Lonchura striata: one gene and its partners. The protein of the gene in region 2 interacts with the protein of the main gene of each other region in a pairwise test. Links are inferred from orthologs where the notes say so. Each region holds a gene or a part of one and is shown on either strand. Other genes may lie near its edges. The genes, in order: C28H19orf25, RINT1, RBM41 and FAM110A.

Evidence for each region.
Region 1: the proteins of RINT1 (region 2) and C28H19orf25 interact in binary tests that used the Homo sapiens proteins (3 or more experiments, as listed by UniProt). The link is inferred for Lonchura striata from reciprocal best matches to the Homo sapiens genes RINT1 and C19orf25.
Region 3: the proteins of RINT1 (region 2) and RBM41 interact in binary tests that used the Homo sapiens proteins (3 or more experiments, as listed by UniProt). The two-hybrid records come from large-scale screens. The link is inferred for Lonchura striata from reciprocal best matches to the Homo sapiens genes RINT1 and RBM41.
Region 4: the proteins of RINT1 (region 2) and FAM110A interact in binary tests that used the Homo sapiens proteins (3 or more experiments, as listed by UniProt). The two-hybrid records come from large-scale screens. The link is inferred for Lonchura striata from reciprocal best matches to the Homo sapiens genes RINT1 and FAM110A.

What each region holds. Positions count from the first base shown.
Region 1 is NC_134630.1:6,186,787-6,193,669, forward strand, and holds C28H19orf25 (UPF0449 protein C19orf25 homolog), read left to right. Parts: upstream 1-4,434; 5' UTR 4,435-4,508; exon of another isoform or gene 4,509-4,512; intron 4,513-5,180; 5' UTR 5,181-5,206; coding exon 5,207-5,354; intron 5,355-5,427; coding exon 5,428-5,603; 3' UTR 5,604-6,362; downstream 6,363-6,883. Other genes in the region: REEP6 (receptor expression-enhancing protein 6), read left to right, coding at 687-780, 1,489-1,627, 2,964-3,132, 3,753-3,802.
Region 2 is NC_134607.1:59,931,820-59,939,604, forward strand, and holds the start of RINT1 (RAD50-interacting protein 1), read right to left. Parts: upstream 3,004-7,785; 5' UTR 2,915-3,003; intron 1,873-2,914; 5' UTR 1,854-1,872; coding exon 1,677-1,853; intron 1,519-1,676; coding exon 1,277-1,518; intron 1,116-1,276; coding exon 942-1,115; intron 865-941; coding exon 715-864; intron 1-714. Other genes in the region: PUS7 (pseudouridylate synthase 7 homolog), read right to left, coding at 4,748-4,884, 5,556-5,647, 6,678-6,807. UniProt on the Homo sapiens protein: Involved in regulation of membrane traffic between the Golgi and the endoplasmic reticulum (ER); the function is proposed to depend on its association in the NRZ complex which is believed to play a role in SNARE assembly at the ER.
Region 3 is NC_134616.1:18,475,906-18,483,161, reverse strand, and holds the start of RBM41 (RNA-binding protein 41), read left to right. Parts: upstream 1-4,249; 5' UTR 4,250-5,040; coding exon 5,041-5,225; intron 5,226-5,325; coding exon 5,326-5,518; intron 5,519-7,256. Other genes in the region: nuclear pore glycoprotein p62-like, read left to right, coding at 1-78, 465-576, 1,097-1,163, 2,301-2,392. UniProt on the Homo sapiens protein: May bind RNA.
Region 4 is NC_134619.1:7,439,798-7,446,240, forward strand, and holds FAM110A (protein FAM110A), read right to left. Parts: upstream 1,515-6,443; coding exon 513-1,514; downstream 1-512.

The DNA of each region.
Region 1 (6,883 bases), on a different chromosome or scaffold from region 2:
CATCCCAATCCCATCCCAATCCCATCCCAGCCCCATCCCAGCTCCATCCCAATCCCATCCCAATCCCATCCCAGCCCCATCCCAGCCCCATCGCAGCCCCATCCCAGCCCCATCCCAGCCCCATCCCAGCCCAATCCCATCGCAGCCCCATCCCAATCCTATCCCAGCCCCATCCCAGCCCCATCCCACCCCCATCCCAGCCCCATCCCAGTCCCATCCCAATCCCATCCCAATCCCATCCCAGCCCCATCCCACCCCCATCCCAGCCCCATCCCAGCCCCATCCCAATCCCATCCCAGCCCCATCGCAGCCCCATCCCAGCCCCATCCCAGCCCCATCCCAATCCCATCCCAGCCCCATCGCAGCCCCATCCCAGCCCCATCCCAGCCCCATCCCAATCCCATCCCAGCCCCATCCCAGCCCCATCGCAGCCCCATCCCAGCCCCATCCCAGCCCCATCCCAGCCCCATCCCAGCCAGGGGAGGGGGTCGCGGCTCCCTCGGGGAGGAGCAGCCTCCCCCGTGCCTCGTTCCATCCAGCACCTCCGCGACGTGGAATTAACCCGGCGTGGCTTTCACCCCCTGGCACACGCCCGTGCCTGCTCTGGGATGAGAATCCCGCTCAGGAGACCGAGCGGGGTCTCCCCCGGTGGCAGCAGGCTCCCGAGCATCCCCTGTGCCCCGCAGGCTCCCTGGCTTTCCTGGGGCTGTACCTCATGTTCGGCTACGGCGCTTCCCTGCTCTGCAATGTCATCGGCTTCGTCTACCCCGCCTACCTCTCGTAAGTACCTGTGCCGCACCTGCAGAGCGTGCCCTGCCCTTCGCTGAGCTCTCCCTGCTCAGCCAGGAGGCGATTATTGCTGGGAAGCTCTTGAGACCTTCCTGGAGAGGCTGGGACCGTGCCAGCCCAGAGCAGCCAGTGGGCAGGTTCCCTCCGGGCTGGGGGGTTTGGGAAGGTGGAGCCCAGCCCGGGACTGCAGCAGCCGTGTCCTTCCTTCCTTGTTTCTTTCCTTGTTTCCTTCCTTCCTTCCTTCCTTGTTTCCTTCCTTCCTTGCTTCCTTCCTTGTTTCCTTGTTTCCTTCCTTCTTTCCTTCCTTGCTTCCTTCCTTCCTTGTTTCCTTGTTTCCTTCCTTCCTTCCTTCTTTCTTTCCTTCCTTCCTTGTTTCCTTGTTTCCTTGATTCCTTCCTTCCTTCCTTCCTTGTTTTCTTCCTTCCTTTCTTCCTTGTTTCGTTGATTCCTTCCTTCTTTCCTTGATTCATTCCTTCCTTCCTTGTTTCCTTCCTTGCTTCCTTCCTTCTTTCCTTGTTTTCTTCCTTCCTTGTTTCCTTCCTTGTTTCCTTGTTTCATTCCTTCCTTGTTTCCTTCTTTCCTTGTTTCTTACATTGTTCCCTTGTTTCCTTCCTTCTTTCCTTGTTTCCTTCCTTGTTTCCTTGTTTCATTCTTTCCTTCCTTGTTTCCTTCCTTGTTTCCTTCCTTGTCCTTCCTCAGCATCAAAGCCATCGAGAGCAACAGCAAGGAGGATGACACCATGTGGCTCACCTACTGGGTGGTCTACGGCGTCTTCAGCATCGCCGAGTTCTTCTCCGACCTCTTCCTCTACTGGTTCCCCTTCTACTACGCCGGGAAGGTAACGGCCGTGCCACGGCGGCATCGCTCACATTATCAATACAGTCAACCAAAAAGAATGATAACCAGAAGTATTTTGCAGACTTAGCAAAAGTACAGGTCAGAGAGTATTCAAGAAGACTGATTCATTCAATTCAAAAGTATCTAACATTTATCCAAAGCTCCTTAGAGTGCAAGATGAAGCAAGTCCCAAAAAGTGAGAGGTTACTTTGGAAAACTCATGAATAGTACTTGGGGTTTTAGAGGTTTGGAAAAGGACAAATAAAATTTCTGGTTTTGGAAGGCATGAAGAAAAAGCCTGTGGGGGAAAAAAAAAAAAATGAATGCAGTTTCAGTTCCTGGTAAAATAAAGAAGCAAGAAAACAAACCAAAATTATAATATAGCTATTTGCAAAATATTAATGAGCTGCAATGGAATCATCATGAAGAGTTGTGCAATCAGTCAGTATGGGCTGTTAGTGACTTAGCACGTGGCAAGGCCTGAGGGGATGGGAGAGGAGAGAGACAAGAGGATGCTCCAGGAGATGGGGGGAGTTCCAAGAGGGGGGAAGATCCAAGAGAGCCTCTGGCCCCTCAGAGACCCCTTATCAGGGGGCTTCAAGGTGGGCTGGAACAAGATTTAGGCCAATGGGGTCACAGACACCTGATGTTTCAGGTGTGGGGTGAACTGTACATTTTGGGGGTTGAAATGGAATAATCCATTTGACTTTTGGACTTATCTGTAGGTAAGGGTATTGTCCAATGTAAGGAGGATTGTTTTCATCCTGGCCGTATTATCGTAAATCTTTTGCCAGGCAATTATATTTATTCATCCTTCCCAACAGGTGTCCAAAGAGGCTCCCTGAAACAGAGGCTAGATGGTGTTAAAGGAATAAAGTGGGGATTTATTAAAAATCTTTCGCAGGATACACCTTGGGCAGTGTGAGAGCCCGGCCGTGGCTACACCCAGGATGGACCCGCCGGGTCATGGGTTTTCACACTTTCTAAGTTTTGGTCCATTTTGAGCTTAATTGTCCAATTCCAGCTCTGGGTTATGCAGTCCCACGCTCCCAAGTTTGCTCTCCTAAATTTGCTGCTGTCGATGCTTTTTGGCCTGAAGCTGCAGCAGCATCCTTGGTTCTGGGGCTGGAAAAGGACTGTGGGCCTGAGCTGTGAGAACTGGCTATGAAGCCCAGAGTTATAAACTAATGCAGTACAGAACCTGGAATATGTGAAAACTGGAATTTGAGGCGTCAGAGGGGCCGCAGCCAGCTCAGATCCCGGGGGACTCCAGTGAGCTCCAGCTTTGGGTGCTGCTGGGTGGCCCCGGAGCCACTGAGCCCCTGCTGTGCCCGCAGTGCCTGTTCCTGGTGTGGTGCATGGCCCCAGTGCCCTGGAACGGCTCCCAGCTCATCTACCACAGCATCATCCGGCCCTTCTTCCTCAAGCACCACCGCGCCGTGGACAACATGATGGGTGACATCGGCACCAAGGCTCTGGACGCCGCCTCCAGCGTCACCCGAGAAGGTAACTCCGGTGGCCCACCCGGTCCCTCCCTCCCTCCTGCTCCGTGTCCCGGTTTTCCCAGCGAGCTCGTTAATTACCGGCGGGGGATTGATCCCTTCTGGTGCCCGTGGGCCCAGCCCCGTGCCGGGAGCCCCGGGGGTCACGGTGCCCTGTCTAACCTCTCTCTCCTCTCTGCGCTGCGCGGTCCAGTCCTGCAGACTCTGGCCAAGAGCAGAGCCCGGCTGGCGGCCGGGGTGGCCCCGCAGCCCAGCCTGCCCGTAGGTACCGAGCGGGGCCCGGGCCGGGTCCCGTGTCCGCCGTGGCACCGCCCAAAACCCGCTCTGTTCCCGCACAACCGGCCCGTTCTCCCGTGGCGTGCGTAGGGCAGGCGCTCCCCTCCCGCTTCTCCGTAGCCAGAGCCCGTCCGTGCGTCCATCCGCGTGTCCATCCGTCTGTCCATCCCCGTGCCCGCGGTTCCCCCAGCGCTGCTGCTCGCCCGGGGCTCCGCGGCGGGACCGGCTGTCACCGCCGTGCCCAGCGGGACGGGGAGGGAGCGGGACGGTGACGCGGGGCCGGGCAGTGCCCCAGGACACCGGGCACTGCCCCGGGGCCGGGCACTAACGCCAGCCGTGTCTCCGCAGGCATCAAAGCACCCCTGAACCTGACAGAGTTAGTGCAGAAGGCGAAGTGAGAGGGGCACCGGGGCCATTGGTACCGGCACTACAGCGCCGGTACGGGCATCAGTACCGGCACCAGCGGCCCCAGTACCGGCACCGTGCTCCCAGTACTGGTACCGGCATCCTCCGTTCTGGCACCGAAGTTCCCCGGTACCGGCACCGTGCTCCCGGTATTGGTACCGGCATCCTCCGTTCTGGCACCGAAGTTCCCCATACAGATGCCGGTACCGGCACCATACTCCCGGTATTGGTACCGGCATCCTCCGTTCTGGCACCGAAGTTCCCCGGTACCGACACCGTGCTCCCTGTACTGGTACCGGCATCCTCCATTCTGGCACCGAAGTCCCCCCTACCGGCACTACAGACGCCGGTACCGGCACCATACTCCCGGTACTGGTACCGTCATCCTCCGTTCCGGCACCGAAGTTCCCCGGTACGGGTACCGGCAGCATGGCCCTGTTACCGGTACCGGCCAGCCCGGGATCCCGAATTTCTCCAGTCCGAGTCCGTTGTCCCCCAGCCCCCCAATAAACCCCGGTGCCCACCGAGCGCCGCTCCCGTCCCGCGCGTTCCGTGACCCCGCGCGGCGCCTTTAAGAGCGGCAGGGGGCGGGGCTTAGGGCAGGGGGCGGGGCTGTCTCAGTGACGTCACGGGGCGTGGCGGAAGTGCGGCCGGGGTCCGTCCGTCTGTCCGTGTGTCCGTCCGTCTGCGCTCCCGGGGGTCGGTCTGTCCGCTGGGGGGACCGGGGGGGCTCTGACGGTGTGTCCGGGGGGCGGAGGGGGCCGGTTTGTCCGTGCGGGGGTGGGGCTCTGCCTGTCTGTCTGTCTGCCTGTCTGTCTGTCTGTCTGTCCGGGGGCGGGGGCAAGGAGGGGTCTATCCGTCTGTCTGTCCGTCCAAAGGGCGGGGTGGGGGACTCTGTCCGTCTGGGGGGAAGGGAGTGAGTCTGTCTGGGGGGGGGGGGGCAGCAGAAGGGATCTGTGTGTCTGTTGGGAGGCAGGTTTGGTGTCTGTCTGTCTGTCTGTCCGGAGGGGAAGGTTTGGGGGGGTTCTGTTTGTCCTTCCAGGGTTACAGTGAGGGGGCTCTGCTCCGTCTGTCTGTCCAAAGGGCAGCACAGGGGGTCTGTCCGTCTTGGGGGGACAGAAAAGGGGAGGTGTCTGTCTGTCTGCTTGTCTGTCTGTCTGTCCGTCTGTCCGGAGGGGAAGGTTTGGGGGGGTTCTGTTTGTCCTTCCGGGGTTACAGTGAGGGGGCTCTGGTCCGTCTGTCTGTCCAAACAGCAGGATAAGGGGGTCTGTCCGCCTTGGGGGGACAGAAAAGGGGAGGTGTCCGTCTGTCCGTCTGTCTGTCCGTCCGGGGGTGGGGGCACCGCCGCACCCTCACCTCCCCGCTCCGCAGCGTCTCCCCCATGAGCCTCCCCCGGGATGAGCTCCAGGGCCAAGCGGGTGCTGCTCACCCGCCCTGAGCCCCCCAGCGCGGAGCAGATCCTGGCCGACGTGCAGGGCTCGCACCCCTCCGACCCCGTGTTCGTCCTCCCCGCCGAGCCCCCCCAGGAGCCCGGCCCCGCTCCAGGTGAGCCCCCGCTGGGCAAGGGGCGGCCGCGGGGACCCCCCGAGCCCCGCTGAGCCCCGGCCCTGCCCGCCAGGCTGCCCCGAGCCCGCGGAGCGGGAGCGGCTGTACCGGCAGATCCGCTCCTACGTGGCCATGAACCAGCGGCTGCAGCAATCCCGGGAGCAGCTGCGGGAGCGGCGCCGGGAGCTGCAGAGGGTCGGGGAGGAGCTGGACCGCGGCATCGCCGAGATGAGGCACAAAGCGTTCTGAGGAAGCCTGCTGGGCGCCTCGGGACACCCCACGCCGTGGTTTCACCTTCCCAAAACCGTTTGCATCGCGAGGATCCGGGTTTGCCGGGGCAGCCCCGGCTGTGCCATCCCAGTGACCTCTTGCCAGGGAGCTCTGCCAGCACGGCGGCACCTTCTTGGTGTTGGGATGAAGGCTTGCACCCCTCCTTCTGCCCCTGAGCCGGCTGCCACGTCCCCCGTGGGTGGCACGTCCTCTGCTCTCTACGACTTTTCCCTCTGGTACGTCCCCGAGGATGACCACGTCGCCTCCCGCATCGCAGGGCGCCTGAGGGAGGAGGGATTTCGGGGCTTCACCGAGCACCAGGACCAAGTGGCCGGGACATCCGTCATCCTGTCGGCCATGGAGGCCATCGAGGCCAGCCGGGTGGCCATCCTGCTGCTCTCGGCCAAGTCCGTGGGCGACCGGTGGTGCCAGCGCGTGTCCCAGTGGAACCTGTTCCGCAGTATCCACCAGCGCGGCCCCAGGGTGGTCCCCGTGTGCGTGGGGGTGACCAGAGCCGAGGTGCCCGCGTTCCTGCAGCACCTCGTCCCGCTGGAATACCAGAACGAGTTCTTCTTCCAGCGGCTGCTGGCCAGCCTGAGGGCCCGCCCGAGGAGCGGGCACCGGCGGGTCCCGCCCGGGGGCACGAACTGAGGCACCGCCGGGGCCGGCTCGGCGGCCAGCACCGCCCCACGGTGTGGAAAACTGCCCTGTTTTGCTAATAAAGGTGCTGGCAATGCATCACGCAGCACCGTGGGCTGTCCTAAATCTCATCAACCCCCATTTTTGGGAGCTGAACGTGCCGCTTTCTGTCTGGGGGCGGGGGATGGTGTGCGGGTGTGTCCCACCCTCCCAGGCGCGACCTTGTGGGTGCTTCTTCCCCTTCCTGCCCTGCTCCGCTGTCACCCGCGGCTCGTCCAGCTCGGCTGCACCGGGAGCCGCGGAACGGGCGGGATGGGGCCGAGCCTGGGGCCGCTGCTGCTGCTGCTGCTGCCGCCCCTCCCGTGGGCTGAGCCCCGGCCCGGTGGGGCCGGTGGGGCCGGCGTGGGCTCGGACGCACCGGCCGGGGCGGTGGCTGGTGCCGGTGGGGACGGGACCCGGCTCCAGCCCTCGATCATCGGGGGACACGAGGCCAAAAAGCACTCCCGGCCCTACATGGTGCTCCTCCAGCTCGAGGGGAATCGCTCCTGCGGGGCAGCGCTGCTGCACCGGCGCTGGGCGCTGACAGCCGCGCACTGCCTGCGTGAGAAGTGAGTCCGGCA
Region 2 (7,785 bases):
AAAAAAAAAAAAGAAAAACATCAGCCACAGTCACACACACACAAAGGCTTAGTTAAACTTGAGTTTTAACTGATTTTTTGTGAATTATTTAATTCATAAAAATCAGGGACAGAATAAGCTGCAGTGCCCTCTGAGCAACCTCAAAGGCAGACTTATGATTGCTGCACAACAGAAATCCTCCTGCAGTCTCCCCTTTTTGTAAACTCTCCTTCCAAGACAGGTATGTTTAGTTTTCCCTTTTTTTCCTTCTGGGACAGGACATATTAAAGTAGTTAAATCTTATTTCACAAAAGGCTTTAAAAGGAAAAGCATTAACTGTGTCTCATAAAACACACATCACCATTTTTTCATTAACATGCATGGGTAATGGTTCCAAACAGTGTAAGGCCACATTCTCATGCAACCTGAACTGTCAGCTACCATGAGAGCACTGGATCTGATGACTTGGAGTTAAAATGTTGGTACTGACAAAAAGGACAACTTTGGCACTTGGCATTTTATAAATGCCAAAACAAACAAACAAACAAATAAAAAACCCACCCAAAAAAAAAAAAAAAAACCAAATCCCCACAACATTCTACTGTTAATACAAAGTAATATAAATTATATTCTGTCTTTAGGGAGAATAAAATTTTAAATAATTCTCCTTGAGAATGTACATCTCTAACAGTTTTTATTTTTGCTAAAATTCACTGCAAGGATTTAAAAGGATACGAGGTTTGCAGTTTCAGAAGCTGACAGAACAGCATCTCCAAGCTGTTGTACACCTCAGGAGCATTGGCTGGTGCAGCAAGGCCAAATGCCTGGGACTGAGGTGGCCCCACAAAGGGCCAGCGGAGCTGTGCCAGCACCTCCTCAAAGTCACTGCAACACAAAATAATCACCAGGACATCAACTGACAGTACAACATAAAGATGAGAGAGTCACAGTATCTCTCTTACCTTGTCAATTTGTCCTTAAGGATTTTATGCCAAAATTTAACAGTGGATCTCACAAAAGCAAGAAGATGAGAACAAGATGACTCCTGAAGTTTAATATCCAATTCTGCCATGAATGCTAGAGTACTGGCTGCCTCTGGAACATTGTTGGTCAGCAGATATTGCTGAATGCTATCACTATAAAACACAAAAAAAGACAAGGCCAAATATTCATTAATGACAACAGAAAAGAATAACTTGTATATTGAAAAGTAAAGACAAAACTTTTTTGAATTTAAAATATTTTAATAATAAACCAGGTCACCAGTCTCAGAACATACCCACTACTCAGAAACTACCTGAGCTCTTCTATGCGAGAAATCCACTCGAGGTAGGCCAGGTGTCGCTCGATCTCTTCTACCTGACCTATCAGCACATCGAGATCCTCCATCCATGGCTGAGCTTTCAGCAAGTGGCTACTGATGGACTCAGACAGAACAGTTTCCTCCTCCAGAAGCTGACTCAGAGACTTTTTGGAATCTTCTGCATTCTTTAAGGCTTTCTGAATTCTTTTAGGGACTTCTGACGAAACTGTAAGTACCTGCATTGACAGAGATGCATCAATGCAGACACAAATCCACTGCACTGTGTAGAGCAGTACTATTTGAGATACTGGTACATTTCATTTAGTTTCATATTCTCAATCAGTCATACAGCATGTTCAGAAGAAAAAAAGAAAAGAAACAGAAAGATGCTTACCTGTTCTTCTAAGTGCTTTTTGTTTTCAGATAGCTTTTCAATCAGGCTGTCTAGTTTCCCCAGGGAATCATAGTCACTTCCAAGTTCTCTTTCCACAAATTCAGAAACATAGTATGGGATATCACAGTGGTCTAGATCTCTAGTGACTTCTTTCTTTCTAACAGCAATGCTTGCCATGTTTTCTTTCTCTGCAATACTGAGTATACAATTTCTAGTTAGCTGACACTAAGACAGCACAAACAAATATTATCTACTGAGGAACAAAACTCCATGAAAAGCTGGGCAGTTCAATTTAAACTGAGACTGAAATACCATATTCATTAATTATACTGCTTTAAGTGAGACAATTTACTGGCTTAAGTCTGAGGTCTGATAAAACCTTGCTGACATAACCAACTGGTGATTTATTATATATTAACTACTAAAGATAAATACATCTGATAATTTCTTCCTTCACCAAAAGCACAAATTCTATTAAAAATAGTTCAAGAAATATGTAGTTCCTACATATATAATATAGAAAACTTAATAAAAACTACAAAAAAATTTGTAAAATAAAAAGGAAGCTAAGGTTCCACTTTCCCTTTTCACAAGTTTAGGAAATTTTAGAGATTCCAACACATGTCTACTGCATTACTAGCAAAGTATCCATGTGGGCCTTATAATAATTTGGAAAGTAAATACATCAGTGAAGTTTTAGCCCAAAAAACCCACACAGTATAACTTAAAAGGTATTTGCTGATCCACACATTTGGCAGCATTCAGAGAAACCCAACATTGAGAGGATGTCCACAGTGAAACAGAAAAGGCAACAGTGACAACTGTTTGGCCAGATCAATCCTCAATTTATCCGCGTCACTTTCAAAAGAGTATTTAAAAATAAAAACCGATACACTTGCACTTCATCTGCTACAAGCTTTAATTAAAACCCCTACTAAACTGACAACAGGAGCGAGGAAGCGGCGCAGCTGATGAGCCAGAGTTGCAGAGACAATAGAGAGCACCAGGAAGAACAAACTGGGCGACCAAGGGTGCTGCAGAAGAATAATCGAATAAAGAAAACAGAGCAGTAATACTCCTGTTTGCAGCAATGTAAATACTAAACGGCAGGAAAAAAAACAACCAAATGGTGCTCCTTTCATACTTAGTGGGAAGGCTCTGGTTACACAAGGCAGGAACAGGACTCCGGCGCATCCCTCCCAGCAGCTGCCCGCTCAGCCCCGCGGCCCAGCACCCACCTCGGCCAGCGGCCGGGCCCTGCCAAGGGCCGGCTGCAGGCTCCGCGGGCTCCGGCAGGCTGCGAGCGGAGCGCCGCCGCCCGCGGCCCGGGCCGGGCGGCCGGGCAGCCCCTCAGCCCAGCGCCGCTCGGCGAGCCCTTCCTCCGCCGCCACGGCCGCCGCTTCCCTGCCGGGCCGGGAGCGCCGCGGGGCCGCCGCCCGGAGCCGTCACCGCCGCCCGGAGCCCTCAGCCGCCGCCCGGAGCCCTCAGCCGCCGCCCGGAGCCGTCACCGCCGCCCGGAGCCCTCAGCCGGCGCCCGGAGCCCTCAGCCGCCGCCCGGAGCCCTCAGCCGCCGCCCGGAACCCTCAGCCGGCGCCCGGAGCCCTCAGCCGCCGCCCGGAGCCCTCAGCCGGCGCCCGGAGCCCTCAGCCGGCGCCCGGAGCCCTCAGCCGCCGCCCGGAGCCCTCAGCCGCCCGCGGCCGCGGCACCGCCCCCGCCGCGTCAGCGGCGCCGCGGCCGGCGGAGCGCGGGGCGCAGGCGCGGCGCCGCTCCCGGGAGCCCCGCGGCGCTCCCGGCCCGCGCTCCCGGGACACGGCCCGGCCCGAGGCTGTCCCGCCGGCCCGAGGCTGTCCCGCCGGCCCGGGGCTGTCCCGCCGGCCCGGGGCTGTCCCGCCGGCCCGAGGCTGTCCCGCCGGCCCGGGGCTGTCCCGCCGGCCTGAGGCTGTCCCGCCGGCCCGGGGCTGTCCCGCCGGCCCGGGGCTGTTCTGCCCCGCGCTCCCGGGACACGGCCCGGCCCGAGGCTGTTCCGCCGGCCCGGGGCTGTCCCGCCCGCCCGAGGCTGTCCCACCGGCCCGGGGCTGTTCTGCCCCGCGCTCCCGGGACACGGCCCGGCCCGGGGCTGACCCGCCGGCCCGGGGCCTGTCCCACCGGCCCAAGGCTGTTCCGCCGGCCCGGGGCTGTCCCACCGGCCCAAGGCTGTCCCGCCGGCCCGGGGCTGTCCCGCCGGCCCGGGGCTGTCCCGCCGGCCTGAGGCTGTCCCGCCGGCCCGGGGCTGTCCCGCCGGCCCGGGGCTGTCCCGCCCCGCGCTCCTGGGACACGGCCTCACACCTCTTGGCCTCCCCCGCCGCCTCTGCCACGGCCGGCGACAGGACTAGCAACGCTTGGCTGAAAAGGCCACGTCTCTTTAGAAAGCTCCCACAGGATTTTTTTCCCCCAACAGCAAGGCATTCCCCGCCAACAAGCGACAGGCGCAAAGGAAGCGCTCACTGATACACGCTCAGAGTTTCAGGTTAGTTTATTTGTAGTACCTGTTCTTTGGTACAGGTATTAGCTGGAAAATACAAGTGTTTTCTCAATGAAAAGTCGGACATATTTAAAAGAGCTGTGCAGCTTTACAGCACATAAAAGCCTTGCTAAAAGAATCTGCTACTGCATCAGTGCAAATGCTACTAGCAAAACTCCAGCAATACATATGTTCATCAGTATCTTAATTTTATTGTAATTCATCTCTCCCCGTGTAATTCATTGTATTTGAAAAGACTTCACGGGCAGCTGAACTCCTGAAAACATTCAGTGCTTGCCCAAAGAAAGCAAGCTAAACATTCTTCCAGGTCTGATGCCATTATAAGCACAATTCTAAAGATACACCTCAAGTTACTCATTCAGTAAAAAGCACCAGTCACTAAAATCCTTATTATATTACAGTCACCATCTTTCAAAGGACTACTGAAGTTAAATGCTAGCACTAAAAAAACTTAAAAAAATACAAATTTTTTACTGTGACTCTTTAAAGATTTGTACAGAACATGTAAATAAGAAAAACATTGTTAAAATCAAATAATTGTGCAGTTCACTCAGCGCAACCAGGTAGTATTCAGTTGTGTCTGGTTTTTTATGCTTGTGTCCATTTTCAAAACTTCTCGAATCGCCATGGTCGCGTAAGTGGATGGGGGAAGGGAGAACTCCATCTTTAGTGCCCTGAATTTGCCATCTATCAGCAGGTGTAAGAGACAAAAAACAAGAACAAGTGGTTAAGGGCATATATAATGCTTATTCTGGATGCCATCTAAACTGAACTAACAGTTTCCACAACCAACTTTCCCAGCCCATAAAGCAAAGCAACCACCACCATCGCATTCCTGTTTATAATCCAAGTGAAAATTTTAATGAAACAATTTAACATTTTCTCTCAGGACAAAGTGGTGGTTTCAGAGTTTTCTTCTTCTAAAAGCAAATATTAATTCTTTCAGACTCAATTCCTAGCCTGTCTTCGCTTTTCTGGAAAGCAGTGTCAAAACACCTTATGACCAGAGTTAAGTATTTCAGTCATCTGTGTTCAGCATCAATAATACAAGCTCAGTATATAGACAATTTGTGACTTAATTCCACCTTTGTTAGTTGCAGACATTTACTGCTAGGCATTTACTTGATTTTACAGATGTCTGTAAGAAAATGTAGCAGTCAATACAGATGCTGGAGGAATGGCTTTCACCCTTGAGAAATCGGGGTCCTTATTTAGATGCCTGTCCTGTTGTTACCACCACTTAACAGTCAATATTTAAGTGAAAGCTCTTCCTTAAAGGAGATTTGACTATGCAGCAATTGAAAGCAACAGCCAGATCAAACTTCCCATTTAGCAAACCAGCAGAAAAATCAACTTACCTGTAGGGAGTACTGGTAATGGTTTTCCTTCCAGTTTATCCAAATCCGTAGTAAATAATGGGATTTTAGGATCATCATATGCAACAACTTCCCTTTATAACATACATAAAATTTATTATTATTTAAAATTATTTAGGTTAACACATTTTATATAAATGTGTATTTATTACAATATTATTTTTTTATTATTATTATTGCAGTTTGGCATTTACAACTGAAATTGAATTAGGCAAAATAATGAGTAAAGCTTTATGTAGAAGATTTGCCTTGGCTTTATGAAGATTGTCAAAAAACAATTAGTGAGAAGCTTCTTTGCATAACTCATCTGCCTGCCCTTGTGTGCTGTCAGAATTTTCAACTACACAAGAAGTATAGTTCATGAAATTAAGGGAAGACTGGTGTCAACTCTAAGAGTACCTAGCACAAGTGAAGCCTTTCAATAGTTATCCAAACTTTGAATGGGCTAAGATATTCTACAGTTTCTGCCATTCATTTAACATAAATCCAATATGTAACCATGAGGCTGAAAAACTAACTGGGAAGTAGACAAACTTAATATTAATTAGTGCTGATGTTTCAAGTATAAATATTTGTATTTCTGTGCTCCTAAATCCTCTATATTTAATTCTATGCATCAGTGATAGTGTTTTCCTGCACATTTGTACAGTTTCCTGTTTAAAAGGTATTTACTCAGTTGCCATATGAAAACTAGGCTATATCTCTAACAACAGTGATTTAGTAGGATGAAGTGACACAAATTTTTCTGATTGATAGATAATTTGAGACCAACTTTTTTATAGCAAGACTACAAAAAACCCTATTCTGAATATTAGCTATCATTGTTTCAACCTAAGTATTATCTATGAAGTGTTCAGGCAAGTCCTTGCAAGGAGTGAACAACTAGCTAAGATGTCTTGATACTCCTCCACCACAGAACTAGAGAACCAAGGAAAAGGCTATAGTTCCACTTCAGCTGCATTAAAAACATGAGAGAAGTGCAGAGAGATTCCTTTCTACCTATGTTTCAGTCTGTGTGGATGTTCCATGGATCAGTCTCATGTTGTTTTGTATTTAAATAAACTCTATGCTAGCAAGTGTAATCTCCTTTATGCTCCAACTCACCAATTGACATTCTGAGGCCGAATGATAATTTTTCTGTATGCTCCAGAAAGTGAGTAATCTCTGATTTTATGCCTCATGTTGTTGATATCAAGGTTGTCAGCTACCAGCATCTCCTTGTAGGCCTCACCAACTGTAAGAGAGGAAAATATAGTAGTGTTACCAATTTAAGCAGACTGTTTTCATGGATTGTTCTCTTCCCTTAAATTTAGCATATATGCTAAATATGCATATATGGGATAAATACTGCACAGAGTTTAAATGTTTACTTCTACACCCTGATTAGCATAGGCAGTAGCCAAGAACACATCAAATCAAATTTCAGCCGAAAACAAAATTTACAAAATACTTTATTGACATTTAAATGTCATCTCATACATGCATTCCAATTTTCTAGACTTCACAGGACTAATCTCAGGTATATGGTGAAAAAAAAAGGGCCAGACTACCCATTACTCTCTCATTAAAAAGCAGCAGAGAGAAATCAGTTGACAATTTGACAGTACAAGAACAGTTCAATCCAATATTAAGGAAAATGTGCATGGAACTCATGACTAACCCAATCTATAAGAACACATAGAACAGGTGAAACCTAGGGGCAGCTACAAAGAGGGACTACACCAGCATTGTCCAGGTACACAGAAATGGTGTTAGGAAAGCCAAAGCTCAGCTACAGTTGAAAGCAGCAAATGACATCAAGACCAGCAAGAGTTCAGCTGCAACAGAAGGAATACAAGGAAAGTGATGGCCTGGTGCTAAACAGGGCAGCTGGTCTAGTGACAGACATAAGGCTGATGGTCTCAAGGCCCCTTTTGCCTTGGCCTTGACCACCTTAGAGGCAAGGTTAAGAAAGAGGGACTACCAGTAGTGGGCAAAGATACAGGCTGGCTTATGTCATGGTGAAGTTTTTCTCTTATCACCTCAGAGATTGTGCAGATCTAGGGATGTCCCAGACAAATGTGGAAAACAAGTGCTGCACCCAACTTCAGAAAGAGCAGGAAAGATAATTAGGGAATTAGAGACCAGTCAGGCTCACTTTGATTGCTGGGAAAAATAATGTAATCTTCTCTGGGCATACAATGACTGTGGTTTTAATATGAGGGGAAAAAAA
Region 3 (7,256 bases), on a different chromosome or scaffold from region 2:
GTCCCCTCTGGAGGAGTCTGTGAAGGAGCAGAGCGGGACCATCTACCTGCAGCACGCAGATGAGGAACGGGAGAGGACGTGAGGCACAAACCTGTGGGGATGGGGGCCGAGCACTGGCCTGTGCCCACAGCCCTCAGCAGGAGTGGAGCTGGGATGGGTGTCAGGATTAACAATCAGTGCCTACCGTCAGATATTTATTCCTGGTTTATGCACGGCAACTTTAGATTTTACTCAGAGTCCTCCACTCTCTTGCTGGTCTGTCTCCATGTGTAGCTCAAGGGAGACAGAGCTTGGGAGTCCCCTCATGTGGGTGCTGGAGCCTCCCTGGGTGCAGCTCCCAGTCTCTGCCAGCCTGGGCTGCAGCTGTGGCAGCTGATGCTGATGGCCCACAGCTGGTGTGACTGTGAGCAGGCCCTCCAAGTTGGCTTTGACCATTCTGATCTTGGTTCCTGTGTGCTCTGCAGCTACAAACTGGCTGAAAACATCGATGCTCAGCTGAAGCGCATGGCACAAGATCTGAAGGACATTATTGATCACTTGAATACATCAGGAGGCCCAGCAGACTCGAGTGACCCGGTAAATGCAAGCTTTTATTTTATGTTGCTGAAGAGGCAAATGATATTGAAATAATTCTAACTCTTAATTTGTCCCCATGTGGATATTCCACTTATACTTTTTCTTCATACTATTTTTATATCCTCATAAAACAAGATCTGTATAACCAGCTCCTGATATCTTTTAAATTGATTTTGATGCTCCTTAGGGCTTTGCCCAGAAGCTTTTTTCTGCAAAAATTTCCTTTTAGTATTTTAGACTGAGTTTACCCACATTCATTTTGAATTTTGCCACCTTAAGCCTAAGGTTATGAATATTCTGCTGGTTCCTAGGTCTTAAATTAAGATAAGCCAAAGTCACAGACATGTTATCTAAACTGTTCAGTTTTCTTGCTGCTATGGAATAGCCAAGTAGCAGTGTTGCTGCACACACTTCCCTGGCTTAAGTGGCTGCTCTCTTGGGAAAGGCATAACTTTGCCTTTGACTCCTCCTGGTGTTTATGCCGTCTCGCAACTAACTTGCACCTTCTCTCTCTGCTCAGCTTCAGCAGATCTGTAAAATTCTGAATGCACACATGGATTCCCTGCAGTGGATTGACCAGAATTCAGGTGAGATTTGTCCTGCAGCCTTTTGGCAGTGTGAGTGGGAAGCAGGAGCTGTGTGTGAGTGTTCATCCCTGAATTCCTGAGGATGCCTGAGGAATCTTCCTCCTCAGCCTTCAGTGGCATTGTCCCTTCTGACATCTGCTTGAATTCTGCTGCTGTGCCTGATGAGAGGCCTCTGCTGGGAAGTTACTCCTGACAACTGGTATTTTTACCCAGAAAGCCCTCCTTGAATTGCGTCAGTACAAAGCAGAGAACTTGAAAACCTTATTCATTCTGTCAAACTAATGTTAAATAGTTCAGCTTCTAAAGATTGTGTGGTTTCTCTGTGGTGCAGGAAAATTGGTGAGGGAAATGTGTGTGTGTTGAGTGTTACTATCCCTCCCAGTCTGAAAACAGGAAGTCACATCCAGATAAGATGGAGCAGCCTGCCTTGATCTGCAGGTGGGGTAACTGCAGGAATAGTATGGGAATTTCACAACCTCCAAAGCTTGAGTTCCATTGCACACAGAGATGCACTCAGGAATAGGCACTTGACAGTGGAGTCATACTAAAACAAGACAGAAAAAAGGAAGTTTTCCCTCTGGAAGAGTGCCTCCTGGTGAGGGATTCTGGAATTTTGTGCCGTTTGGATTTTAACTGGTAGCAGCCACACGGGGGCACGGCAGAATAAAGCAGCTCTCCTCTCAGAGCCCCAGAGCCTAGTTACAGTGCTGTGAAATGCTCACACCTGGGGTAACAACTTGCGTGAAAGCAGACCTGCTCTTCTTCATGTTGGCTTAGGTCAGGGTCTAATTCGGTGTTTTCTTTCAGAACACTCCTGCTAAGCTTCCCATTCTAAACATGCCTTTTTCAGCAAATCTGGTACAGCTCCTGTGCAACCTGAATTTACATAATGTGTGTAAAAATAGCTATCTGTTTGCTTTAAACTTTCCTAGAAAGGAGACAAATTTTTTCTTTTGCCATTAAATAACGAAAACATTGTCTTATTGGTAGTACTTTGGGTTGTGTTTTCCTCCTGCTTTATCCACTGACAAATCTGAGTGACTGTCAGCAAGGAATTATTTTTCTTTCTGCAGGCAAAACTGTGCAGGGTTGTGTTCTGGGGTGACTGTGACATTTAATCCCTTGTTTCTGCCACAGCTGTGCTACAGAGGAAGGTGGAAGAGGTGACCAAGGTTTGTGAGAGTCGCCGCAAGGAGCAGGAGCGCAGCTTTCGGATCACCTTTGATTGAGACATTCCCAAGTTCAAAGGATGAACATAAAACCTCCACAGAAAACAGAGGTGTTTGGGAGCTGAGGACTGAAACAATGACCTGGTTTTATTTCTTTTTTTACAATAAAATGTGCTGTTTGTTCAAAGCCAGTCTTTGTGGTGTTGGACTGGATTTCACGTGCTCCTATCAGAAACTGGATGAAGTCTGCAGGAAGTGTGTACTCCTTGTGCTTTAGCTGTGCCTGCAGACTGGTGAGGTAACAGAAATGCTGTCTTGGAGGACTCCTGCGTGCTTTTGCAGGAGGAGGCTGCAGAGGTGGCTTATGTGAGAAGCTCCAGAAGCTTCCACCATGTCCAGCAGGGCCAGTCCCTGGTGGCTCCAAATGATGGACAGAGTTGCTGGCCAGGGCTGGGCCAGTTAGATATGGTGGTAATGACTCTGTGAAACAGCTTTTTAAGAAGAAATAAATACAAATTTGATGCTCAGTTGTAATTGCAGCCAGAGAAGAGAGGGGTGAAAATCTGTGAGGGGAACAGCTCTGCAGACACCAAGGTTAGTGAAGGAGGGAGGGAAAAAGGTGTTCCAGGTGCTGGGGCTGAGATTGCTCTGCAGCCTGTGGTGAGGACCATGGTGAAGCAGCTGTGCTCCTGCAGCCCATGGAGGAGCCCCATGCCAGAGCAGGGGCATGCCTGACAGGAGGCTGAGCCTGTGGCTGAGGTGCCCTGCTCCCAGGCTGGAGCAGCCTGTCCTGGAAGGACTCTGTGGCAGAGTGCCCCACACTGCAGCAGTCTGAGGGGGCTGTTGCCCATGGGATGGACTTCTCACATCAGAGAAGTTCAGAGAACTGTCTCCCATGGGGAGGACCCCACAGTGCAGCAGGGGAAATACTGCTGTCCCTGAGCACCAGGAAAACCAGGGGTGACAAACTGACCATAACCCCCATTCCCATCTCTCTATGAACTGATAATAAGCCCCATTCCTGTGTCTCTATGAACTGCTCATGACCCCCGTTCCCATCTCCCTATGAACTGACCATAACCCTGATTCCTGTCTCCCTTTGAACTGACCATAACCCCAATTCCTGTCTCCCTTTGAACTGACCATAACCCCAATTCCTGTCTCCCTTTGAACTGACCATAACCCCCGTTCCTGTGTCTCTATGAACTGACCATAACCCCCATCTCCGTATGAACTGACCATAGCCCCATTCCCGTCTCCCTGCGCTGCTGGGGTACGAGGGACGGGTAGGCGAAGGTGTTTCTAAGGGCTGATTTTACTTCCCATTACCCCGCTGTGCTTCAGTTATCAAAAAACTCCGTTCCCATCTCCGCCTTAAGCCCTTTGCCCGTGACGACACTCGACGCGAGATCCCTTCCGGTCCGTGTCTCAAGCCGCGAATTCTGCGCTAAGTGTCGTGCGTTCGGCCGCGGAGGGGAGCGGCTGTCCCCGGGGCGCCGGGCACACCGTGCGGCTCTGCCGGGCGGGGCAGCGCTGCGGGCAGCGCTCGGCTCGGCTCGGCTCGGCTCGGCTCGGCTCGGCTCGGCTCGGCTCCTCCCGGGGCGGCTCCCGGCGGGCGCTGCCGGGGCCCGGCGTGCGGAGCGGCGGGGCCATGCGCCGGTGAGCGGGGCAGGAGCGGGGCGGCCCGGCCCCGCTGCGGCGGTGCGGGAGCGCCTGCGGTGGAGGATCTGGGGTCTGGCTGCTCCGCGCAGCACGGACCCCGGAAAGGGAAAAGCGCTGCTGGAATTCACCGTTTCTCCTCGGCGTCGCGGTTTCACTTTCCTCCCTGTCTCATTTGGAGCTGGCAGTGTCTGCTGTGGAAAATGCGTGTTTTATGATTGGCTTTTCGCAAATTAATGTTATATGTATAATGTTAGAAAGTTATGGTGTATTAATTCTCTTAAGGACTCTGTTAAATATAGTTTTAGGTTACAACATAATGTTGAAATAGAAATCTGTGATGTAGGATTTTTTTACTAGCTCAAGCAAGACATGAGGTAATCAAAAAGCTCTTCACACAGAGGTGACAGTGACTTGGGGCCCATGAAGAGCTACTGCCTCCTTATCAGAAAAGACAGTCTTCCACCTTCTCTCCATCTTTATGGAACCACCGGGATTAAGGGGAAGAAGTTGACAAAAAACAGAAAAGTTCTTAATTTGCAAGGAATTTATGCATCATGTAGGATATATATGAATATGCAACAGGCTATTGCATTTAAGGTTATTCCTTTGTTCACAAAGTATGCTTTTTGTGACTTAAGTGTCCAAGAGCATCCATAATTCTTTGCTTTATATTGTTTTGTTATGGTCCTAACTCTAAACTTTATTTCTCTAATTGTGTTACTATTTTTATAACCATTTTATTATTATTAAACACTTAAAATTTTAAAAACCAAATAATGGGTGTTTTTCACACTGGCTAGATGCTGATGCAAGACGATTTCGGTCAATAAAAATTATGGCGTGTGATTTTAAAGTAAACAAACAACCCCCACACCAATATAAAAACACCCAGAGGCTCCTTGGGGTACTTTTATGTTCTCCAAGGAATCCCAAATTTGTTGACTTTTCTAGTAATGTTAAAGGGAGCTGTGGTCAAGTAGTTTTGGTTTCTTGTTTTTTTAAAATCCCATAAAACCAGCGCAAGAGGTGGAGGAGCTGTAGCAAGGATGTGTTTTGAGCAGTGTTTCCTCTATTGCCTGACTGCCCATGCCTGTGCTGTGGTTGTGTGCCCCAGGGTGAACAGCAGCCTGTCCAGTGATGAGCTTCTCCTGGAAGACTTGGAGACAGAAGGAGAGAGGCAGCTGAAGAGCCTCCTTCACCAGCAGCTTGACACCACTGTCTCCATCGAGCAGTAAGTGTGGTCTGGCCCAGGTGTGGTCTGAGCAGCCCCTTGCTGTCCCCAGTTCCTCAGTGCTGAGCTGTCTGTGCTGGCGTGTTCCTTTGGCTCACAGGTGCAAGTCAAAACGGAGATGCTTTGCTCCTGCAGCTTTTTACAAACCTTTCGGAGAAGAGGCTGCGGGGGCTTTGACCCTGCCACAGTTCCAGGCCCTGCAGGAGAGTGACAGAGAAACCTCGTCTCTCCGGGAGCTGGGGCTCTCCGACTCGGAGATCCTGCTCTGGAAGAACCGGGACTCGGCAAGGAAGGTGGGCATGCTCTGCTCTCACCTGAGCGTGGTCAGGTTCCTCTAACCCCGTGGCTCTCTGGTAGAAAATTCCAGTCCTTTGTAAGCCTTTGGTAAAGAATGGCCTCTCCTTGTATCCCTTGCCTTTAGCCCAGCACTATCCTACATTTCTTCTGGCCTCTTTTCTTTGGTGGAATGGTCAATGTTAAAAGATATGGTGGAGACAGGAGTGGGTCCTTTGGAACACAGCAGGATGTGAGGGTATTCCTGCCTTTGCCTTGATCTCAAATAAATCATTTCACCTCTTTATACCTGTGTATGAAGGATTTAAAGGCCAGAAGAGAAGGAGAAAATATTTCAAAGCATCTCAAATCCTCCTTTGAGTATCCTGATAAATCCCTGGATCCCATTGCTGATTTGGGATGGCTGTTTGTAGGGGGTGTTCTCCTTAGGGGCTTGCATGTCCTTCAGGGGCTCTGGGACAGCCACATGAAAATAGTGCAGAGCTGTCAGACCACTGTGTGGTCTGTGCCACCACCACTGTGTGGTGGCAGTGCCTTGGTGCCTCCTTGGATGCTCTTCCAGCAGGTTTCTCCCCTTCCCCCACTTTCACCCTTTTTTTTCACATTCCAGAGTCAAGAGGCTTTTGTGGTTGTCTGTATCAGGTGCATTGGAGTGTCCTGCTCTTAATCTGCCAAACTAGAAAATGCAAAACAGGAGTTGGGCTGATCCTTGGCTTCCTTTTGTCTCCTGTTCCTGAGTGATAGCTGTGTGCAGGAGAGTTGTCTGTGGAGAGTTGTCTGTGGTCATCAGTGCTTTGCCTCTTTTCAGCTGAAATCATTCCTTGCTTTGGTATTTAAATGGAAATCCAACCGTGGTGTGGCCTGATTAAAGCTTGGTGCAGAGAGGAGTGGTGTTAATTTAAGAATGAAAATCAATGTCGTCAGTACTAGCTGTTATATTTAGTATGAAATGTATTCTGGGATGTTCAGGAATAATTACTTGTATGGAAAACACTACTCTGACAGAAAATAAGGCTGACATCAGGGTATGTCTTCTACAGAAGAAGACATATTTATAACAGAAGAGAAGAATATAAGAGAAAAATATTTAGGGAGAAAGCCTAAGTCAGTCAAAGCCTATGCAGCTTTGGAGGTGGAGGCCCTGAGTGAAAGATTCCATCATGAGTGATGAATAATGTCAGCTGAAACAGAGAGAACTTCAGATTGCCTGGGGAGCTCTTGGCAAAGTACTGAGTGCGGATTTCTGTTATTTTCAGCTGCTAAGTGGCAGCTTTTTTGAAAACAAAGTACAACAAATGATTTCCGGGAATTGCTTTTCCGTATAAACAGCCTTTTGTGCCTCAGGGAAGCTGTGAAATGGTGAATGGAAGAAGCTGTGCAGATGTGGGGCAGAGGTACCATGGGAAACTCTGTTAGGCTGTGCTCAGTGCAGGGAGAAAGCCTTGTTTCTTGCCTGAGGCAGAAGGATCTGCCACAGGAATTCTCAAACTCAATTTGAGAACAGAAAATCCACCCACAGCCCCATCAAAGTGTGTTCTGTGTCCTGATGGAGGTGGATGGGGGAGCAGAAGTGCCCTTTCAGCAGCTGGGCTGTGTCTGTGTGCTTTGGCAGCATGAAGTGTTGGTGCAGGGAGGTTTGTGTACCCAGGGATGCTCCTTGCTCACAGCTGAGCTGCGGGGGCTGTGCTGCAGCTCCTCTGTGGTTTCTGGAAGCTGGCTCAGTGATGCTGGTTGGGG
Region 4 (6,443 bases), on a different chromosome or scaffold from region 2:
GCTTCCCCCTCACACCTCAAAGCACCAGGCTTTTCTTCAGCAATAAGATGGGACCACCAGGATGTGGCCACCACCCCAGGCAGTGGGACCCCTTCCGTGGAGGCTGCTCCTTCACCAGTGCAGTGTCCCAGCTTCGTGCAGGGGGAACCAGCCCCTTGCACCCCACCCCAGGGTGCTGGTGAGGAGCAGGACAGGCAGGAGCTGCCAGCAGTGCAGGCAGGGCAGCCACACGAGGCCCTGTGGGTGTTGAGGACCAGCCACACACCCAGGGGGACACGTGTCCTCTGCCTTCCCACGAGCTTGCAGGGACCTGGCACAGTGGTGGCACAGGGGTCTGACAATGGATCCCTGGCCACATCAGGCCAGTGATGCTGTGGCACAGCAGGGCTGAGTTCAAGGGTCCTGTCACCACCAAAAGGTCCCTGCTCCTCGCAGGGCACAGCCAGCGCTTTGTCCCCATCCAGCGTTGCCCACTTATGAGCGGCCCATCCCCGGTGCCCACCACGGCACTGCTACACATCGGAGACCTGCTGGGGCTCCCTGGCCTGGCGCAGCCCGTAGAGCCACTTGATGACACGGGCGTTGCGCTCGATGATGGAGATGCCGTAGGGCACACGCTCCGCCGGCCGCCCCTCCGGCGTGGCGGCGCTGGGTGGCGAGTGGCCGCCCTCCGAGCTGGCCGTGCTCACGCTGTGGAACTTGAGGGACACGATGTCAGAGCTGGCGCGGGCGAAGCGCTCAGCCCCCATGTCCTGCATCTCCTCGGGGTCAAGGCCGCAGTAGTTGAAGAAGCGCTCCAGGTCGGCGGTGGCCCTCGAGAGCCGATCGCTCAGGTCCGACTTGGAGCGGTGCAGCAGCGGCTGCCGGCGGGCGCTCTCCGGGCGGGCGGGTGAGCTCCGGGACGGGGTCACAGGCAGCCCACCTGGGATGGGGGATGCAGGCAGAGGTGTCACTGGGCTCCGCGGAGCTCCACAGGGACGGACGTCCACCCTCCGCACGGCCACACTGCCGGGGGGCTTGGTGGTGGCCGGGCTCTCCGGTGGCTTGACAGCCCCCTCCACCTCTGGCGCTTCCGCCCGCCACCTGCACTCCCTGCCCAGCGGGCTCTCCGCCTTAGGGAAGGGGCTGTCGCAGAGGTTGATGAGGTTGTTGAGGATCTCCAGGTCAAGGGAGGTCTTCGGGCTGGCAGCATCGGCGCGGCGTGGCCCCGGGGGTGCCCTGCGGCTGGGGGTGAGCACAGCCCGGCGCACCCCGGCGGTGAAGAGGGGCTGCTTGAGCAGCAGCGGCTTCACCGGCTCCTGCTTGGTGCTGGCGACCTTCTGGCTCTTCACGTACTTGGCCTTGTCGGCCTCCAGCCTCTCCACTGCGCTGGGCTTCCCGGCCCCCGGCTCGGCGTGCCGGCGGAAATACGCGGGCCCTTTGCGGAGGATACGGACGGGCATGGCCGAGGTGAAAGGCGCCGTCACCGTCACCCCCTTCATGGTGTCACCGGCTTGCAGCGCCTCGACGGGCATCCTCCGTGCCGCCACCGGGACACTCGTGAGCGGCCGCCACGGGCAGCGAGGGGCTCAGGTGCCGTGGGCTGCGGAGCGAGAGCGGGGCCGGAGTGAGAGCGGCGGCGATGCTGCCCCTGCCCGCGCCCCGGCCCCGCGGCAGACAAAGACAGCCCGGGCCGTGCGGTACCGCACTCGCTGCGCCCCCGGCTCCAGGCTGCCTATTTGAAGGCGGTCACCACGCCTCCGCCGCTGCCGAGCCTCCCCGACAAGTGCCGCGGCCAATCCGCGCCGCACGCCTGCTTCAAACCGCACCGGGCCAATGGCGCCGGCGGGGAGGGCGCCCCGGTGCCGGCGAGGGGCACCCTGCGGAGACAGTGGCGCGGAGAGAGCCAAGAACCCCTCACTGATGCTCTGCCCAAGTCGCAGGTGCCGGGGGTGCATTGCATGTGCCCATCGTCCATGCTCAGGGGCGCACTGCTCACATCCAGGGGGGCAAGTCCTTCTCCCAGGAGTGCATCGCCCACTCCCAGGGGGCGATTGCACCCAAGGGTGCCTCATCTACATCCTTGCATCACCCGTGCCCAGGGCTGCGTTGCCTGCTCCCAGGCGTGCATCCCCCATGCCCATGGCTCCATCACCCACCACCCCGCCGGGCTGGTGGGCTCGATGCTCCACTCCCCTCTGCTGTTCCCTCAGCTCTCGCAAGCTCCGCGGCTGCTCCCAGGCTCCCTGCTCTCATCCTGAAACTCCTTGGAAAGTAAGTGGAGTGCACGGGGCTTTCCACTCGTGCTTCCCCGGCCGCGGTGTGCTCGGGGCAGCGTGAGGCCCTGTGCACCCCGTGTCCTTGGGTCCCTGCCAGCCCCAACAAGCGCAGCCGCCACAACGGCCGCACAGAGGCACCAGCCCGCCCACAGCAAAAAGGTGGGGGAGGGCACCCAAACCAGCCCCACACCCTTCTGCAGCCCCCTGACCAGAGGTGGACACACCAAGAGTATCCCCGATACCCAGAGGGGCTCAGCAGTGGCAGGGCACACAGGAGCATATGTGGGTCAGACCCCCTCCCCCAACCCCTTTCCAAGCTGCTCTGAGATTCCTCCTGAGGGTCCCGATTTGGGGCACCGATGAGCCCGAGGGTGTGGCAGCAAGCCCCAGCACTCACCAGGTGCAGTGGTGGGCAGGGCAGAGCCGGTGTGCTGTGGCCTCACTCGCTCCCGTAGGAGCGCCAAGCAGGCAGCTGCCACCTTCACCCGCTCAACCTGCGTGCACAAACTTCCTGGGAGCAGCTCAGAGCCTATCCCAGCAGCAGGAGCAGCCCAGAGCCTCTCCCAGCAGCACCCAAAGCCCTGCCGAGCCGTGGCTGTCTGCATCCCCTACCAGCCCACGGGTGCCAAATTCCCCAGAATCTGGACCCCAGCAGGATCCCTGCACAGCACACATCCCTGTGACACGCTGTGACAGACGAGTGGCCATGGGGGAGGCTGGCTGCCCCTCTCCCCATTCTCGTCCCCTGCCTTGGGGGGACATGCTGCCTCCTGACCTGGAAAATGTCTGCAGGGGGGCGGCCAGGCGTGTGACAGCTGGGAATGGTCCCAGCACCGGCACAGATCCTCCTGCCTCCTCCCCGGGGCAGCTTTCTGCACCCCTCTGCCCTACCCCTCAGGTCCCGTGCTGCTCCACCCCTGTGCCAGCTTCACTGCCCTTGTACCTGTGCCCAGCACAGGGAGGGCTCCCCGGTTCAGCACAGGGGTGCAAGAGTGTCCCCCAGGCAAGGCAAAGCAGGAAAATGTCCACACGTCAGGCACTGGAGATCAGCCTTGTACCAGACACTCAGCCAAGCCACAGAGGAGGTGGCTGTGAAGTTTAGGGACAAGGTCATGGGAGCCCCAGCACAGCTGCCAGTGGCCGGTGTGGGGACCCCTCCCCAGCACGGCCAGCCCGGCCGGGCACAACCTGCTGCTCCACATTCCTGCAGTGCTGAGCCACTGCGCTGGCACGGCCACACCGAGCTGGGCTGCACCGAGCCAAGCTGAGCCGAGCGGAGCCGCCCTCCCAACAGCCCCAAAAACTCGGCAACAAACAAATCCCATGCCCCAAACCCAGCTGGAGTGCGGGGATCTGAGCTCTGGGCATTGCCCAGTGTGGCCCCAGCTCCTCTCCCTCCTGGGGTGGGCAGTCCAGCCAGGCTCACATGGCACACCAGGCCACCTCCTGCCTGGAGGAGCTGCTCCAGAGGTGCACGGTTATGACCCCTTCACCGGCTCACCCAGCCCCACTCTGCTGGCACTGGACCAGCACGAGACCATCACCCCCTCTGCCACCCACCTGGATTGGCCCTGCAGCGCGGGAGCCTCGTTGGCAAGGATCAGCTGCCACACTTCTTCTCCCTGCTCTTTCCGAGGATGTCCTGATGGTGTCCTGATGTCCCCAGCCTCCTGCTCCCCAGCCACGTCCTGCCCGTCTCCCCGCGTGCTGGCGGCTGCAGGGTGCCGGAGCGGTTCTGCGTGCGGCGGCTGCCGCTGAGTCAGCACCGGGCGAGGACGCCCTCGGAGGCAACTCAGCGCTCACATGGGATGGAAACCACAGGGCATTCCTGTGTGCCAGGCTGTGCCACGCAGCGTGCGGTGTCTGGTGACCTCCCAGGTGCCGGTTCAGTCCGCGGTGCCGGCTGGGCAGCCTGGATACACACACGGCCCGAGATGCTCACAGTGACAAATCCAAAATGCTTCTGGATGTCACAGCTCGCTGTGGGCAGAGGGTCCTTGTGCTGGGTTAGGGCTTCAGGGACACGGGGGAAATTCCCAGCCTTCCTGTGGGCACCCAGATTCCCTCATATCAGTGGTATGGTCAGTTGGCAGGGCCTGCTTTGATTTGGAAATCTCATCTTGTTTCTCCACTCACCCAGCAGCAATAAACTCCAAAACATAGGAAAATAAACTGGGTAGCAGGAAGGGAAGTGACAGACTGGAACAGGGTCACCAAGCCTGCAGCCACCTGGACCTGCTGGCCTGAACCCAGCCCCACGGTGGCTCCTGCCCTATGGTTCAGGCATCTGCATTCAGCTCTGCACAGAGGGAACAAGCTTTTGGCTCATGCTGTGGAGCTCAGTTACAGCCCTGCATTGTTCAAATGGCTCCTGGAGCAAGACAAGGAGCTGGTGGAGGGAGAAGAGCCAAGGGAAGCTCAGAGTCTGCCCTGAGCCCAGATTTGCACAACGGGCTCAGCTAGAAAATCCCAGTTGGTAGGCAAGGGCAGAGCCCGCAGGCTGCGTCCCCCCACAGGCGCCGAGGCTGTGCGGGTGCAGGCAGGAGGCTGCAGGAGCTGCTCGGGCACGTCTGGCCCGTTGGAGCGGGGCGTTGGATCCAGGCAGCGACCCAAGCCTCGCCCTCCCCGGGAGCATCCCGGGACATGCCCCGGGAGGACAGCCTCCTGCAGGAATGCTCCTGCAGCACCCGGTGCAGCATCCGCACCGCTGCCCAGGAACACATGGACGGTGTTTGTGAGCAGAGGGACAATGAGGCACTGGCAGTGCCTTTGCTCTCACCTTCTACAGACACCCTCGTGCCACTGCCAGGACCTCTTGGATGGTAAATTAAGCTGCCAATGAGCAGAAAACAAACTCAGCACCCAATTTCCCACGTGGAAGTGCTGGGTGGAGGCAGCTAAGGGCGCCTGGCAACACCTGCCAAGCTGCAGGGCTAGGGCTCGTCACTTTGCATGGGCAAAGGCATCCCCAGAGCTGAGAGATCCCCAGCCTCTTCATCTTGGGTGCTTTATTGCAGCCTGTTGCCATGCCCTGACCCAGGATAAGCCACCACTTGCTCCTCCCTCAGTTTCCCCAGCAAGAGCTCTACAGAGCTACTCTAGAAGGAACATGGGGACAGAATGGGGAAGCACCCGCTGCACCCAGCATCACCCCATTCCCTGTGGGCAGAGGGAATGATGCTGCCCGCACCCGGATGTTCACACTCCGTCTCTGCTCAGGGATCTGGGAGCCAGGGAGGTGACAGATGGGGACATGCTGGGCACAAGGCCTTTGTCTGGCCGGTGGTGGCAGCGGCACAGACCCGCAGATGGCGGCTGCCGTGGGGCCGTGGCCGCAGCCCATGGCCAGGCAAGCACTGGGCCCTGGGGATCCGGCCCTTTTGTTGAGGTCTCACCTCCGGCAGCAGCCCCTTCCCTGCTGCCCCCACCAGCCTTTCCACTTTCAACTTGACCTGCTCCTTTCACATGGAAATGGATGCAAATAGGGCTGAGGCTGCCAGGGTCCAGGCTGAGACCCGGCAGCAGGTCCCCAAGTCTGGGGGGGTCATACCCTCTCAAATAGGGTGGCCAGTAGTCCCTGGAGTGAGGGGGTCCCCTTGTCCCCCCATGGAGTAGCAGCCACCCTCTGCCCAGGCAGACCATCCCCACTGCTCACACATGGAAGAAGATATTAGGGGATGGGTCTCACTAGGGCTGAGCTCAAGGACAGACCTCTGCTTTTCTGGGCTGCCAATCTTCCCGTGCCCTCCTGCCACCCTGTTACTCCCATGGCGTGGGCAGTGTGCCCACCCCGGGGATCCGCTCTGCACCCCCTGGCATGCGCTGGCTTGCAGTTGGGATGGGCTCCCCAGCCCTGGCTGGGTGAGGAGGGGGCTTCCTGGAGGGATGGTCATCACAGCCCAGCCAAGTCCCGCAGGCAGGGACCACTCGGCTACCAAATGTTGCCATCTGCTCCGGGGCCTTCGCTCGCATCTGCCGGGGGTGCGGAGGGGCGAGGGGCCGGGGGGCCGGGAGTTCAGCTGGGGGGCGGGCAGGGGGCGGGGAAGGCACAGGCAGCACGCATCGCGTGGATTTGGGTGAGTAGCATGAAGGGGCAACACGGAGGTCCCACACCCAGCACCCCGTCGAGCTGCCTCTGCCCTGTAGCCATTCACCCTTGGGAAGGGTCTCACTGCCGGCTGAGCC